Linked DNA regions of Cricetulus griseus. The protein of the gene in region 3 binds, or shares a complex with, the protein of the main gene of each other region. Links are inferred from orthologs where the notes say so. Each region holds a gene or a part of one and is shown on either strand. Other genes may lie near its edges. The genes, in order: Nr5a1, Nr5a2 and Nr0b2.

Region 1 (3,670 bases), on a different chromosome or scaffold from region 3:
GCAAAATTTATTTCAGGGCTGCAGGGGTGCAGGGGCTTGTAAGGGCACTTCTTGTTTCGGAGCAGTTGGTCTTGGCCTTGGCAGGGGCACACATTTCAGGGGCAGAGGTGGGGTCTGAGGCAGGGTGGTGGAAGGCAGGAGGCAGCCTTGTCCAGCCGGGCAGGCCTAGCATAAGCTGTAAATCTGATATGATCGCAGGAAGGACAATGGATGCCCAGTCTGGAACAGAGGATGGCTTAGGTCTTCCCCCCACCCCACCCCACCCTCAGTGTCTGGCCCTGAAAAGAGACTTCCAGGATACAAAGCAGAGGTCAGGCAACTGAGGCCAGCTTCTAGAGTTGTGGCAGGAGACCCAAAAGGATGAAGCCATGAGAGGAGAGACTCCTCAGCACTGCCTCCATCTAAAGACTCCTGAGTCCTCCTAGGTTTCCCATATCCCCACCTGCAGGGACTCTAGTGGAGCAGGCAGAGGGCAAGCAACAGCTCTTCTCTGGAGTAAGGTGGGGTACATAAAGATGACCCGATGCCACCCTGACTCTTGGAATGAGATATCAGGAGAAAAAACTTCAGTGCTAATCCCCACATCCCAGCTCAGTCCTCAATCTATCTCCTGCTGTCTCTCTCTCTCTCTCTCTCTCTCTCTCTCTCTCTCTCTCTCTCTCTCTCTCTCTTTCCTTCCAAGGACTGTCTAGGGGAAAGGAAAAGCAAACACCAAAGAATCCTGGTGACTACAAACTTACAAATAAGTACCAGCCCAGCCAAGGTACAAATGTTGACAACACCAGACTCCTCCTCCCTGGGTGGATAGGAAGATGATTACAACAAAGTCTTTTTTCAGGTAATGAATCAGAATTAGACAGGTGGAGAGCTGGAGAGGGGTCTTTGTACCTGACCCAGTCTCTTGGTACCCTCCAGGGAAGACCCTACCCAATTTAGCAAACTCAGTTTACAACATTGGACTTCCTTCCCTTCTTCAGGGGAGTCTAGAGACCCTCCTCTGCCCTCATTTATGCTGTAGACCTTCCCCTGCCTCTGATTACAGGAGAGAGGGAAAGGATGACCTCTGACCCAAGGAACATCCAGGGAATCCCAAACCTCCTCCCGGGACTTGTACCTCAGATGCCAGGAAAGAATCTGGGGGCAGATGGAGGAAGGAGTGGCTAGAAGCCACTTCCTTGGGGCACTCCAAGTGGCAGGTTTGTGCCAGTGGCTGGTGAAGGCAACCTGCCCCAGGTAGTCCCTGTCCATCTTTGACCCACCATCCCAAGCACACAGCTCCAGAACTCGGGGGCAGGGGCCTAAGGACAGGACTCCTGGATCACCTAATGCAATGAGTCATTTGGAGGCAGTGGCATCCCCACCTACTGCCTGTTTCCAGGTGCCCAGGCTCAAGTCTGCTTGGCCTGCAGCATCTCAATGAGAAGGTTGTTGCGGGGCATCTCATTGCCCAAATGCTTGTGGTACAGGTACTCCTTGGCCTGCATGCTCAGTGCCCTTACTTCCACCAGGCACAATAGCAACTGCTGGAATTTGTCCCCGCAATGCGGGTAGTGACACAAGGTGTAATCCAGCAGGGCAGCGTTGGCTTTCTCCTGGGCATCCTTCACCAGGCTGTGGTTGTTCAGGAATTTCACATCTGCAACGGGAGCAGTCCATCACCCTCCAGTCACTGTGCCACCACCAAAGTTGGGCTGACACTGTCAGCAGTATTACCAACACCACATTCCCAGGGGATACCAAACCTATGGGTACAGAGACTGCCATGAGCCTCTCAATGGCAACCTCCCTATCTCCACCCTGGGACCAGCACATCACTGACATCATTTTGGTTAGTTTCCTAAGCTTGTGCTTCCTTTGATTTTTTTTTTCTTCTCTTTATTTTTGAGACAGGGTCACATAGATCTCCTTCGTTGGCCTGGAACTCACTTTGTAGACCAGGCTGGTCTTGAACTCACAGAGACCCACCTACTTTTCCCTGTCTCCCCAGTGGATTAAAGGCATTTAAAACACCTAAAAATCCCTGTTTTATCACCAGTATGGTCACCACCATCACCAACCAGTAAATCATATCACTAGCTCAGTCATCACTGCTGCTGTCACTATGGATACTTGACAATCACCAAGATCATCATCAACAGCAGCAGGTGCATGGCCAGGTGTGGTGTTTACACCTCTCCATTTTCTCATCTATAAAATGAGATGCACTGGTCCCTCCAGAAATGTAAGGTACTGACTCATGGGAAAACACATCAAAGTCTAGCTGTGGCTAACCCCCTAGCCCCCAGGCATGAACATCACTGTCAAAAGGACCTGTCTTGGGGTGTCAATCCCATGAGTACTCTGGATATGCCCTGGAAAGAGACTCCATAAATTCAGTCCTGGGGTTCTGGAATCAGCTTCTTTGCAGCACTGCTCATGGTGAGGAAGAGGGGCCTAGGTGGCTGTGTGCCAGTTACATCTGGGGAGTTGTAGAATGAACAGACCTAGAGCACATAGAGCCATGTTGAAAAGTGGGGTGCAGTGGGAAGTGAGAGGCAACAGAAGAGCTGGAAGTTTTTAAAGTAAAGCCATTCACATAAATTTAAAATGGTGCTGAAGTGTGGCTTAAAGTAGCCTGTCACACACAGGCCCTGGTTCTCTCCTCTATGCTATCAAAACATGAAGGGAGTGGGAGGAAGGAAGGCAGGCAGGCTAGCTGTCACCACACAGACATGCTGTGTGAGAACAATGGTGACCATGAAGCTGTAGTTAGACATGGAGGACCAGCTCGCTGTTACAGAGAAAGGAGCAGGTGGCAGGAGCTGAAGTGTGAGCAGAGCATCCTTGGGCCTTAGTCCTGGGCTAGACACAAAAGAGGTCTTTGGAGCTGGTTAGGAGCAGCAGCCCTGTGGAAGAGTGCCTCTCTATTCGGCATAAAGGTAACCTTCCTCAGAGAAGGGTGCTGGAAATGGGGTGTTTGGAACCTTTCCTTGTTGGTCAGCTCCCAGCTCCCAGCCTTTTTTAGCTCATGCCCTACCTAGAAGTTTAACATCAGCCCCAGAGCCTATCCTGGCCTCCCTGAGCTGTGGCTTCCAGGGGGTCAGAAGATGGGTCACTCATCTGCTTTGCTCCCTTGATGCACCCCAGTCTTTCCACTGTGGGGAGTTGGGCCAGCATGCGCTCTTGGCCCTCTAATCCCTCTTAACACCCACTGCACCAGGAAAGCTGAGGTGCCTGGCAACCCTGATCCTTGCCACCCCCAGCACACCCCCTGGGGCCTGTGTTGTTCAAAGATGGATTTAGGGAAACCCGAGCTGGGCCTGAGTCGTATGGCAGGATTTGGCAGCTGCTGGCCTCCACCCTGGCTCCCATCACCCTCCAATAAATGAGCCAGAGTCATTTTCTTCCTCTACTCCCTGGGATAGCCACCAGTTCATGAGACATCTTTATGTACTTTAGAAAAAAGCTCCCTCTGGAGAGATATACCTAAATCCAAGCCCAGTCCTTCCCTGCTTCAGTGCCCCTGTACAGTGAAACCAACCCAACTGTACATAGCAACCCGACTCTCTAGCCTGGCTAGCTTCACTGCAGTTAAAGGTGATCATAGGAAGTCAATCCACCAAGTTGGTCTGGAAGCAAGAGATGCCTACTGATCCCATCTGTCCTTGCCTCAATCTTTTCCCCATTCCAA
Region 2 (3,670 bases), on a different chromosome or scaffold from region 3:
TAAATGTCCTGACACTCGCTCTGGAGACCAGGCTGGCCTCAAACTCACAGAGATCCTTCTGCCTCTACATCCCAGTGCTGGGATTAAAAGCATGCACCACCACTGCCCTGCCTGTTTTTTTTTCTAAGTTCTTCTTTATTATATTTTATTTATATTTATTTAATGTGCATTGGTGTTTTTACATGCATGTATGTCTGTATGAAGGTGTTGGATCACCTGGACCTCGAGTTATAGACAGTTGTGAGCTGTCTTGTAGGTGTCCTGGGTCCTCTAGAAGAGCAGTCAGTACTGAGCCATCACCCCAGCCCCCACTGATTTTTAAAACACATTTCTTCGTAGTCTTTTCTAAAAGAAATTTGTTGTTCTTTTTTGTTTTGAGACAGGATCTCATTCTGTAACCCGGGCCAGCCTAGAACTCACTGTGTGAACTAGATGGCCTTGAACTCACAGCAAACCTCCTGTCCTAACCCTCTGAGTGTTGGGATTACAAACATATGCCTCTATACCAGGTTGTCTTGGTTTGGTTTTCTTTTAAGAAATTATATATGCAAAATTATATGCAAAATTATTAGAAACTTTAGGAAGAAATATCTTTTATCTCAACCAACTTTATATTCATCCTTACACAGCTAACTTACTACCTGGCTATTTCAGGAGTTGCTTTGACTATTCATCACAATACAATCATACCATCTCTTGTAACACTTGATTCATACCATTTCCCAGTGCCACATTAATAATGTAAGATTGAACATAAGGTTGTTACATAAAGTCTTTCATCAAGCAACTATAATAACTTAAAGAAAATACCCCTTTACTGTGCCTGCAGTGTCAAACCCAGAGTGCTAAGTACTTTTCACATACACGTTCGTGTCTTTCCTTGCAGAACCACCTCAACACAAACATCATTAGTTCTCTGGCACTCTTCCACAGTGCATGCAGTTTTACAGGTGAGAACATTAAGACTCTGGCAACACTGATCCCTGCCTGCAGTACACACAGCCACACACCCAGGGGATGTCATTCAGCTCAAGTCCATTTTACTAACCCCAATGGCTTTCCTCGTTTATATACATCACTTTGCCTTCCAGCTGCAGCCAAAAACACTTTCATTTTTAAGTAGCTCATCTGTCCTCATAGGGACATGGTTATGAATATAAAAGCACCCAGAAAATTAGAGTGTTTGGTTTTTGCTTTTTAAATAAAGGATGCTCTCTCTTAGAGTGGTTCTCTATACTACCTACTCGGAAAGCACCTGGTTTTATCATGCTAGCTCAGTGTTTTCTGTTTGCTCTCAGCAGCCTAGTCACTTCACCTTCAGCCACCTTTCCGTGTAGCAATAAAGGACAGGAGAAAAAAAAGGTAGGCAGGATGTATCATCACTGCATGCTGCTGGCATTGGGTTAACCTATTTAGATCTACTCGGGTAATTCTGTTTCCACATACAAACATCTTGGCGCTGGAAGACTTCGGTGAAGAACATATCTTCCCTCAGCACATAGCTTCTATATTCCCCACCCCTCTGTCTGCACAGCACATGTTTAATGATAAGCCTTTCCACTAAAAGTCGGCCTATCGATAGGTTATCAGAAGTCACAGATACTTATCACCTCTCCCACCCTGACAGCAAAAGCATGAGGCTGATTTTATAATGAAATGGCCTTAGAAATCAAAGTTAGGGATTTGCTTAAATTGGGAATGGAATGATTAGTTACAAAATGTGGTTTGGTCACTGCTCAGATGCCAAACTCCTAAATAACTTGCCTGTATTAATTCAGTTTTAAGTTTCAGGAAATAAAATAATCATGTAGTTAAACACAGATCCTTATGCAAACAAGTGGTGTGTTTACAACGCACCAACCCATTTACTTAAACCGCAGACATTTGCAAGGAACCCAACAGACAAGCACTGGCCATTGGCTCACTCCCCATGCAATAAAGTCAGCATCCTACTGGAATCTGTTCTGAAAACAATGGTTTTACTGCCCTAATGTCAGGGCAAACAAATAGTAAATGCCTACTTGACACCACTAGGCAGTGGTATCATCTGCACTTTGCAAGATCTGAAACAATTAAACATTGGCATTTTTTCCCCTTTGAAAAGAAACCTTCCAGATAATATCATTATAACATAGTTTGTGACGTAGTCACTTGAAAAAATTAGTTTAGTAGCTGTTTGATGTTGCATTTTGGGGGAAACAAACCATCTCTGAGTTAGAAGAGATGAGTGCATTCTGCTATATGGGAACAAAACAGTACTTAATGTCTTGTTCAACAGCATATCCCAATTAGGAGCTACCCAGAACCAAAGCCCTATCAAGTTAAGCTGTAATAACCTTGCAGTAATAGTCACAAAGACCTCTTGTTTAAGTCATATAAACAAAAGGAGAACCTATTCTAAGCACCAAGAACATAAGTAATGGTGAGGAACCTAGTCAGATCTTTGAGAGGAGAGTAGGCATGACATACCTTCAGTTCTCTGAAGAAGATACTACTCCTGGCCCATTCAACAATGGAGAAGAGGGTCAGGTCCGCCATTTTGCACATAAGCCCAAACGTGTTCAGCTTTCCATGCTTGCCTCGGAGGCCCTGGTCCTCCTGTAACTGAGATGAGATTTTCCCTTGAACTCGAGGCTCATCTGGCTCACACTTCAAAAGTTCCAGGATCAGATGTGGGATGCTGGCTGGGGAGCTCGTCTGATAACCATCCATGTAGGGGTAGCCCATCATTGACTCAGGTGAGCTGGTGTAAGGATCTGGATACTCAGACTTGATGGCCCGATTAGGAAAGTGACCATATGGTTGGTAACCTTGCAGGCTGCCATGAGGTGGCATTGTCATGCTAATGGGAGATGTGACAAAGGGACTTCTGTCATAGTCTGTGGGAGGCAAGGCAGCATGGTTTAGAGGTAGGCCTTTGGAGACAGAATGAATGTTCTGAATTGCAGAGGAGATGGTCAGGTCTGAGGGCATCCCTTGGATCACTTGAGACATGGCTTCCAGCTTAAGTCCATTGGCTCGAATGAGAGCTTTCTTCTGTTGCTTGAGGGCCCTGTCTCTCTTGTACATTGGCCCAAACTTATTTCTGCCTCCTCGCATGCGGTCAGCTCTTACGGCTATTGACAGAGGAGAAAGGAAGGGTATATAAGAGGGAAGTTAGCATTCTGCAAGATCTCTAGACATTTCAAATTATTGGTAATTCACAGGAAGTGATTTCAGTGCATGTGTGTATGTTGTGTGTATTTTCATTGTGATAACCTACAGAGATATTCCAAGAAGAAATGCCTTCCTAATGAATTCTTTCCTTCAAGTGGGCTTTGTTATCAAAAACATATTTTGGGAAACCTGTGTGGACTGAAAAAGTTTCACAACAGATATTTAATATTCATGGGGGAGCGGGTTCCTTTCTGGGTAGGCCAGTTTCTAGTATGCAAGCTATGTCATGATTTCTCATGGAAACCAAAATTGTATTCCTGCTGTGTACCTGTGTATGTGTCTGTGTCATTTTTGTTTTGTTTTGTTTTGTTGTTTTAAAGAAAAAGAGAATCAACTCATTTCGGAATTAAGTACCTCCTCTCCCAACATCGTCCTCATTAGCTGTGATTTTTGGACACTTTGTTACAAAGGTTAGTTAAGTACAGGTTCTTCTTGGAAAACCCCTTTCACCTGG
Region 3 (4,341 bases):
TGCTTTCTGGTGGCTTCTCATTCAGTTGTAAAATAAACCTTGTCCCCAGCATTGAGGTCACTGTCCCTCTCTAGAACACTAAGGAGCTGGTTTCTGCTTACATTCCAGGAGTTCCATCTGGCAAGAGGAGCATGCACCCTGAAGAACGGCTTGCCCCTTCCATAGGCAACCGTGGTGTCAGCAGGTCATACCTTTTATTACAAAAATCAATAACTTAATTGAGTTCTATACAAAGTCAGGAGGAATTCTGGCCTGAAGTACAGCCTCATTCATGCTCCCATCTCTGTCCCTGGCCCAAAGACTTTGGGGGGCCACCAAGGACCTATTAGGCAGTTAGTATACTGTGTCCAAACCAAGGAAGTCCAAGCTGGGGGCATGGCTGAGGTGAGGGCTGCTCCTGGGGAGTTGAAGCTCCCCTTTGGAAGCCCTGGATTCCACTCTGCAGGTCACCTCAGCCAAAGCATGTCTTCCAGCAGTTCAGCGATGTCAACATCTCCGATGATAGGGCGGAAGAAGAGATCCACCAGAAGGCTGCATGAAATGTTCTTGAGAGTAGAGGCCATGAGGAGGATTCGGGCCAGGCGGCCTTGGCTAGCAGGGTACCAGGGCTCCAGGACTTCACACAAGGCCCAGTGAGCCTCCTGCTGCAGGTGGGAGATGTGGCAAGAGGCATGGAGGCCTGGCACATCTGTGGCAGAGAGGGTGAAGAGGGCTGGTGAGCAGCTGCTCCGTGGAGGCTAGCCCAGGGTGTGAGAATGTTAGTGGCTCCCCCCCTCATATGCCGGGGTGCAATGCAGGGCCTCGTGCATACTAGGGCATGCTTGGCAGGCATTCTACATTTGGGCTGAACATTGCTGGTTCCTTTAACATGCCAGGCGATAGTTGTACCACTGAACTACATTCCCAGCCCTTACAGATACAGAAGAGACCTAATTGTTTGGTGGTGTTAGGCAACAAACCCAGGACCTGTAGCTCGGGAGGTAATACTTTACTAATGAGTTCCACGCATTGGCCCACTCTGCCACCTTGGAGGTTTCAATCACCATCTCCTACATTTTATTCCATTTATGTGGAGATAAGGGCTGAGACATACGAGTTAGAGAGATGGCTCTGTGGTTAAGGGCACTTCCTGCTATGACTGAGGACCTGAGTCCGGTTCCCACCTACATTGTGGCTCACAACTGCCTATAATTCCAATTCCTGACACCCTCTTCCGGCTTCTGTGAGCTCCCACCAGATGATACACATACATACAGGTAGAAACTTACACACATAAAATAATATCTAAATAATTCTTTTCTTATTTTGTTTTTTGAGACAGATTTTCGAGGTGGTGACACACTTTTAATCCCTGTACTTGGGAGGCAGAGGCGGTTAGATCTCTGTGAATTCAAGACCAGCCTGGTCTACAGAGCTACTTCCAGGACAGTCAGAGCTGTTACATAGAGAAACTCTGTTTCAAAAAACAAAACAAAAAGCCAAAACCAAAAAAGAACCAGAGGCCGGTTGTTCGTGGCAGGCCTTTAATCCCAGCACTCGGGAGGCAGAGGCAGGCGGATCTCTGTGAGTTCGAGGCTGGCTGAATTTGAATCCCAGCACTGCCACTGTGAGCTCAGTGATCTTGGACAAGTAGTTTCATCTTTCTGAGTGACCTTAGATGAGTAGTTTAAATCTCTGTGCCTTAGTTTCTTCATCTATCTAGTGGGAACAATGACAATACTTGTTGCCCACTACTGCTGTGAGGTTTAACCAAATCACTATTTGTAAAACCCTTAGGCTAAGTCCTGACATATGGGAAATGCATGTGATTCTTTGGTACTGTTACTGCCGTTTGGCGTTACACTTTAACTTCCAAGGCCTGTCTCTTGTCTTCCTCAAAGTTACAAAGAATATTTTCCCATGCCAGGCATGGTGTTAGTTTGAGGTCAACTTGCTTTACGTAGTGAGTTCTAGGCCAGCCAGGGTTCCGTGGTAAAACCGCCTCATTTCTCCTCATCGCCCCTCACCCCACCCCATCTGCTCTCCACCCAAGAAGTGACCACTCCCCACCCTTCCATTCTTTCTGTGTGGCCGCTCTGAACCCACGGAGGACTTTAACCTTCAGAACTTCACTGTGCAGCCTGCCCTTGAAGAAGGCAGACACTGCACACGGCGGTGTCTGCCTTACCCACTCTACCCTTCCAGCACAGCGGCAAAGACCAATCTCTGCATTAGCTTGACTTGCATTCCCAGGCCTGTTCTGCCTCTGCCTTACTGTGTGGCCTTCAGGTAGTTGCTTAACCTCCCTGTCTCTCCTGGGAGATACCTGTTTGGAGCTAACAAGGACGCAAAGAGACAACGATTCTTTTCCTGGACGGGTCCTGTCCCCTCCCAGCGTGGCCCCCATCCAGGAGTGTCTGGGAGCTCACCTGGGTTGAAGAGGATGGTTCCTTTCAAGTAGGCATACTCCTTGGGACCCAGCTCAAGGCTCCAGAAAGACTCCAGACAACGCTGGAGCCACTGCACGGCAGCCAGTGAGGGCTGTGGCCGGTCGGGTAGCTGGGTACCCTGCGTACCACTGCTGGGTTCCTCCAGAAGGATTTTTTTAAGTATACTGGGCACTGGAGCCTCAGCTATCTCAAAGGTCACAGTATCTTGGGCCAGCCCAAGCAGGAAGAGAGGGCCCCAGCAGACCCCCAGCAGCCGTCGCTGATCCTCATGGGGCAGGTGGCAGAAGGACGGCAGGTTCCTGAGGAACGCTACTGTCTTGGCTAGGACATCCAAGGCCTCCCGGCAGGTGCGCTGTGGAGCACTCAGACGGACAGGCCGGTGCTGCTGGCAGAGGCAGTGGCTGCGAGATGCGGGTGCAATGGGCCTGGCCCTGAGGCTGGGGCTTAGAAGCGCGTACAGAATAGCAGGGCGGCCTGCAGAGCCCTGGCAGGGGCAGCCCCCAGACTGGCTGGAGTTCATGGTTGGTATCTCGCTCCTGTTTCTTCCCAGCTATCGGTCCTCTGTACTGTGAGTGCTATTTATATCCTCGATGGCGGGAGGGGGAATGGCCGTGGAACCTTGACTCCAGAAGTCATGTTCATTGAAAAAAAAAAAAAAGCCAACATACACACACAATGCACACATACACTGACCCTGGCAGGACCGGAGGGGGAGGGGCACTGGAGCTCCACGTGGCGTTGCTATCGCTTTAGTCAATGAAGTGGCCATTGCAGGGCACAGGGCCACCTGCCCACTGCCTGGATGCCCTTTATCGGATGACTCAGTGTATAAACAAGGTCATTAACCCAGGCTGTACCAGGGCACCAAGGTCTCAGGTGCTCAACCAGCCAGTGGCTGTGACTGCTGCTGTTTCGATTGGAGCCCACTTTCATGCACACAAGACCAGGGTTCTCACTGAGCCAAGGAGCCAGCCAGAGAAAGCCAGCTAAGGCCTTGAATGCCTGACCCAGCCTGGAAGTGCCTTATCGCTGCTGTGTTTGCCTAACCTTGGGGCTCTGCTCCTGTTGTCGGTAAGGAACAGGCTGCAGGGAAGGGAGCCAGGTCCCTGGGGGACTTTGCTCATTGTACAGTCTAGGAGGTACCCCCTCCTGTGACTCCAGTGCAGAGGCCCCGTTGGAGGAAGGCCATTCCAGAGCCCCCTGCTCCCATTCTGTGCTCCAATAGCTCCAGAGGGGCTGGGCCTGCTGGCCCTTGCAAAATTGTTACTTACAAGGCTGCCAGTTACTGAGGACCCACTCTATATGGATCACTTTCCCTTGTAATGTTGAGAACTTCCCAGAGAAGTGACCTGCTCAAAGTCACTCCAACCAGAAGGGACAGAGCACAGATATGTCTGACCTCGAAGTCATCCTTGTTTGCCCCTCCCCCCCCCCCAATCAACTGTGCAGCTGAAGTGTGAATTTCCCAGCACAGGTGGCTAGCAGCTACCCCCACTCCCAGCCCCCAGCCCCTGCCTGGTCTGCAGGTGTGGCCCACCTATGGTGCGACTGGAAACATCTCTGCTAACACGCCGCTTCTCTGCCCTGGATATTTGTCTTCAGTGGTTAGAGGCGAGGTATGAGGGAAATGGGAGGTCCTTGGCTGTGTCAGGTTCCTGACCTTTGGCTAGCCTTGCCTAGCAGGTTTGTTGTCGCCACACTCTTGGGCAACCTGGTGCTCCGGATGAGGAGCCCTGGCATCTGGTCTTGGCTCCATGATTCCCAGTCAGCTGCTCTCCAGGGTTCTGTGAGCCTTGGTGGAGACAATCAGGGCTCCTGTGGTATTGGGACTTGACAGAGCAAGGTTCTGTGTAGGCCAAGAAGCTGCCCCCACTCTATCCTTTAGACAGGCAGCCACACTGCTTTCACTGTA

The links.
Region 1: the proteins of Nr0b2 (region 3) and Nr5a1 are in contact, whole or in part, in a crystal structure (PDB 1YMT), measured with the Mus musculus proteins. The link is inferred for Cricetulus griseus from reciprocal best matches to the Homo sapiens genes NR0B2 and NR5A1. Residues at the interface, in NP_035980.1 of Mus musculus: Thr19, Ile20, Leu21, Tyr22, Leu24, Leu25, Ser26; in NP_001303616.1 of Mus musculus: Ile275, Val278, Arg282, Phe287, Val292, Gln295, Met296, Leu299, Gln300, Asn450, Leu452, Glu455, Met456.
Region 2: the proteins of Nr0b2 (region 3) and Nr5a2 are in contact, whole or in part, in a crystal structure (PDB 1YUC), measured with the Homo sapiens proteins. The link is inferred for Cricetulus griseus from reciprocal best matches to the Homo sapiens genes NR0B2 and NR5A2. Residues at the interface, in NP_068804.1 of Homo sapiens: Arg17, Pro18, Ala19, Ile20, Leu21, Tyr22, Leu24, Leu25, Ser26, Ser27, Ser28; in NP_995582.1 of Homo sapiens: Phe354, Val357, Arg361, Phe366, Val371, Asp372, Gln374, Met375, Leu378, Gln379, Asn529, Asn530, Leu531, Glu534, Met535.

Annotation. Positions count from the first base shown.
Region 1 is NC_048599.1:149,962,756-149,966,425, forward strand, and holds the end of Nr5a1 (steroidogenic factor 1), read right to left. Parts: intron 1,637-3,670; coding exon 1,389-1,636; 3' UTR 289-1,388; downstream 1-288. UniProt on the Homo sapiens protein: Transcriptional activator. Essential for sexual differentiation and formation of the primary steroidogenic tissues. Binds to the Ad4 site found in the promoter region of steroidogenic P450 genes such as CYP11A, CYP11B and CYP21B.
Region 2 is NC_048598.1:52,341,139-52,344,808, reverse strand, and holds part of Nr5a2 (nuclear receptor subfamily 5 group A member 2), read right to left. Parts: intron 3,117-3,670; coding exon 2,470-3,116; intron 1-2,469. UniProt on the Homo sapiens protein: Orphan nuclear receptor that binds DNA as a monomer to the 5'-TCAAGGCCA-3' sequence and controls expression of target genes: regulates key biological processes, such as early embryonic development, cholesterol and bile acid synthesis pathways, as well as liver and pancreas morphogenesis.
Region 3 is NC_048595.1:19,710,312-19,714,652, forward strand, and holds Nr0b2 (nuclear receptor subfamily 0 group B member 2), read right to left. Parts: upstream 2,950-4,341; coding exon 2,409-2,949; intron 689-2,408; coding exon 447-688; 3' UTR 185-446; downstream 1-184. UniProt on the Homo sapiens protein: Transcriptional regulator that acts as a negative regulator of receptor-dependent signaling pathways. Specifically inhibits transactivation of the nuclear receptor with which it interacts.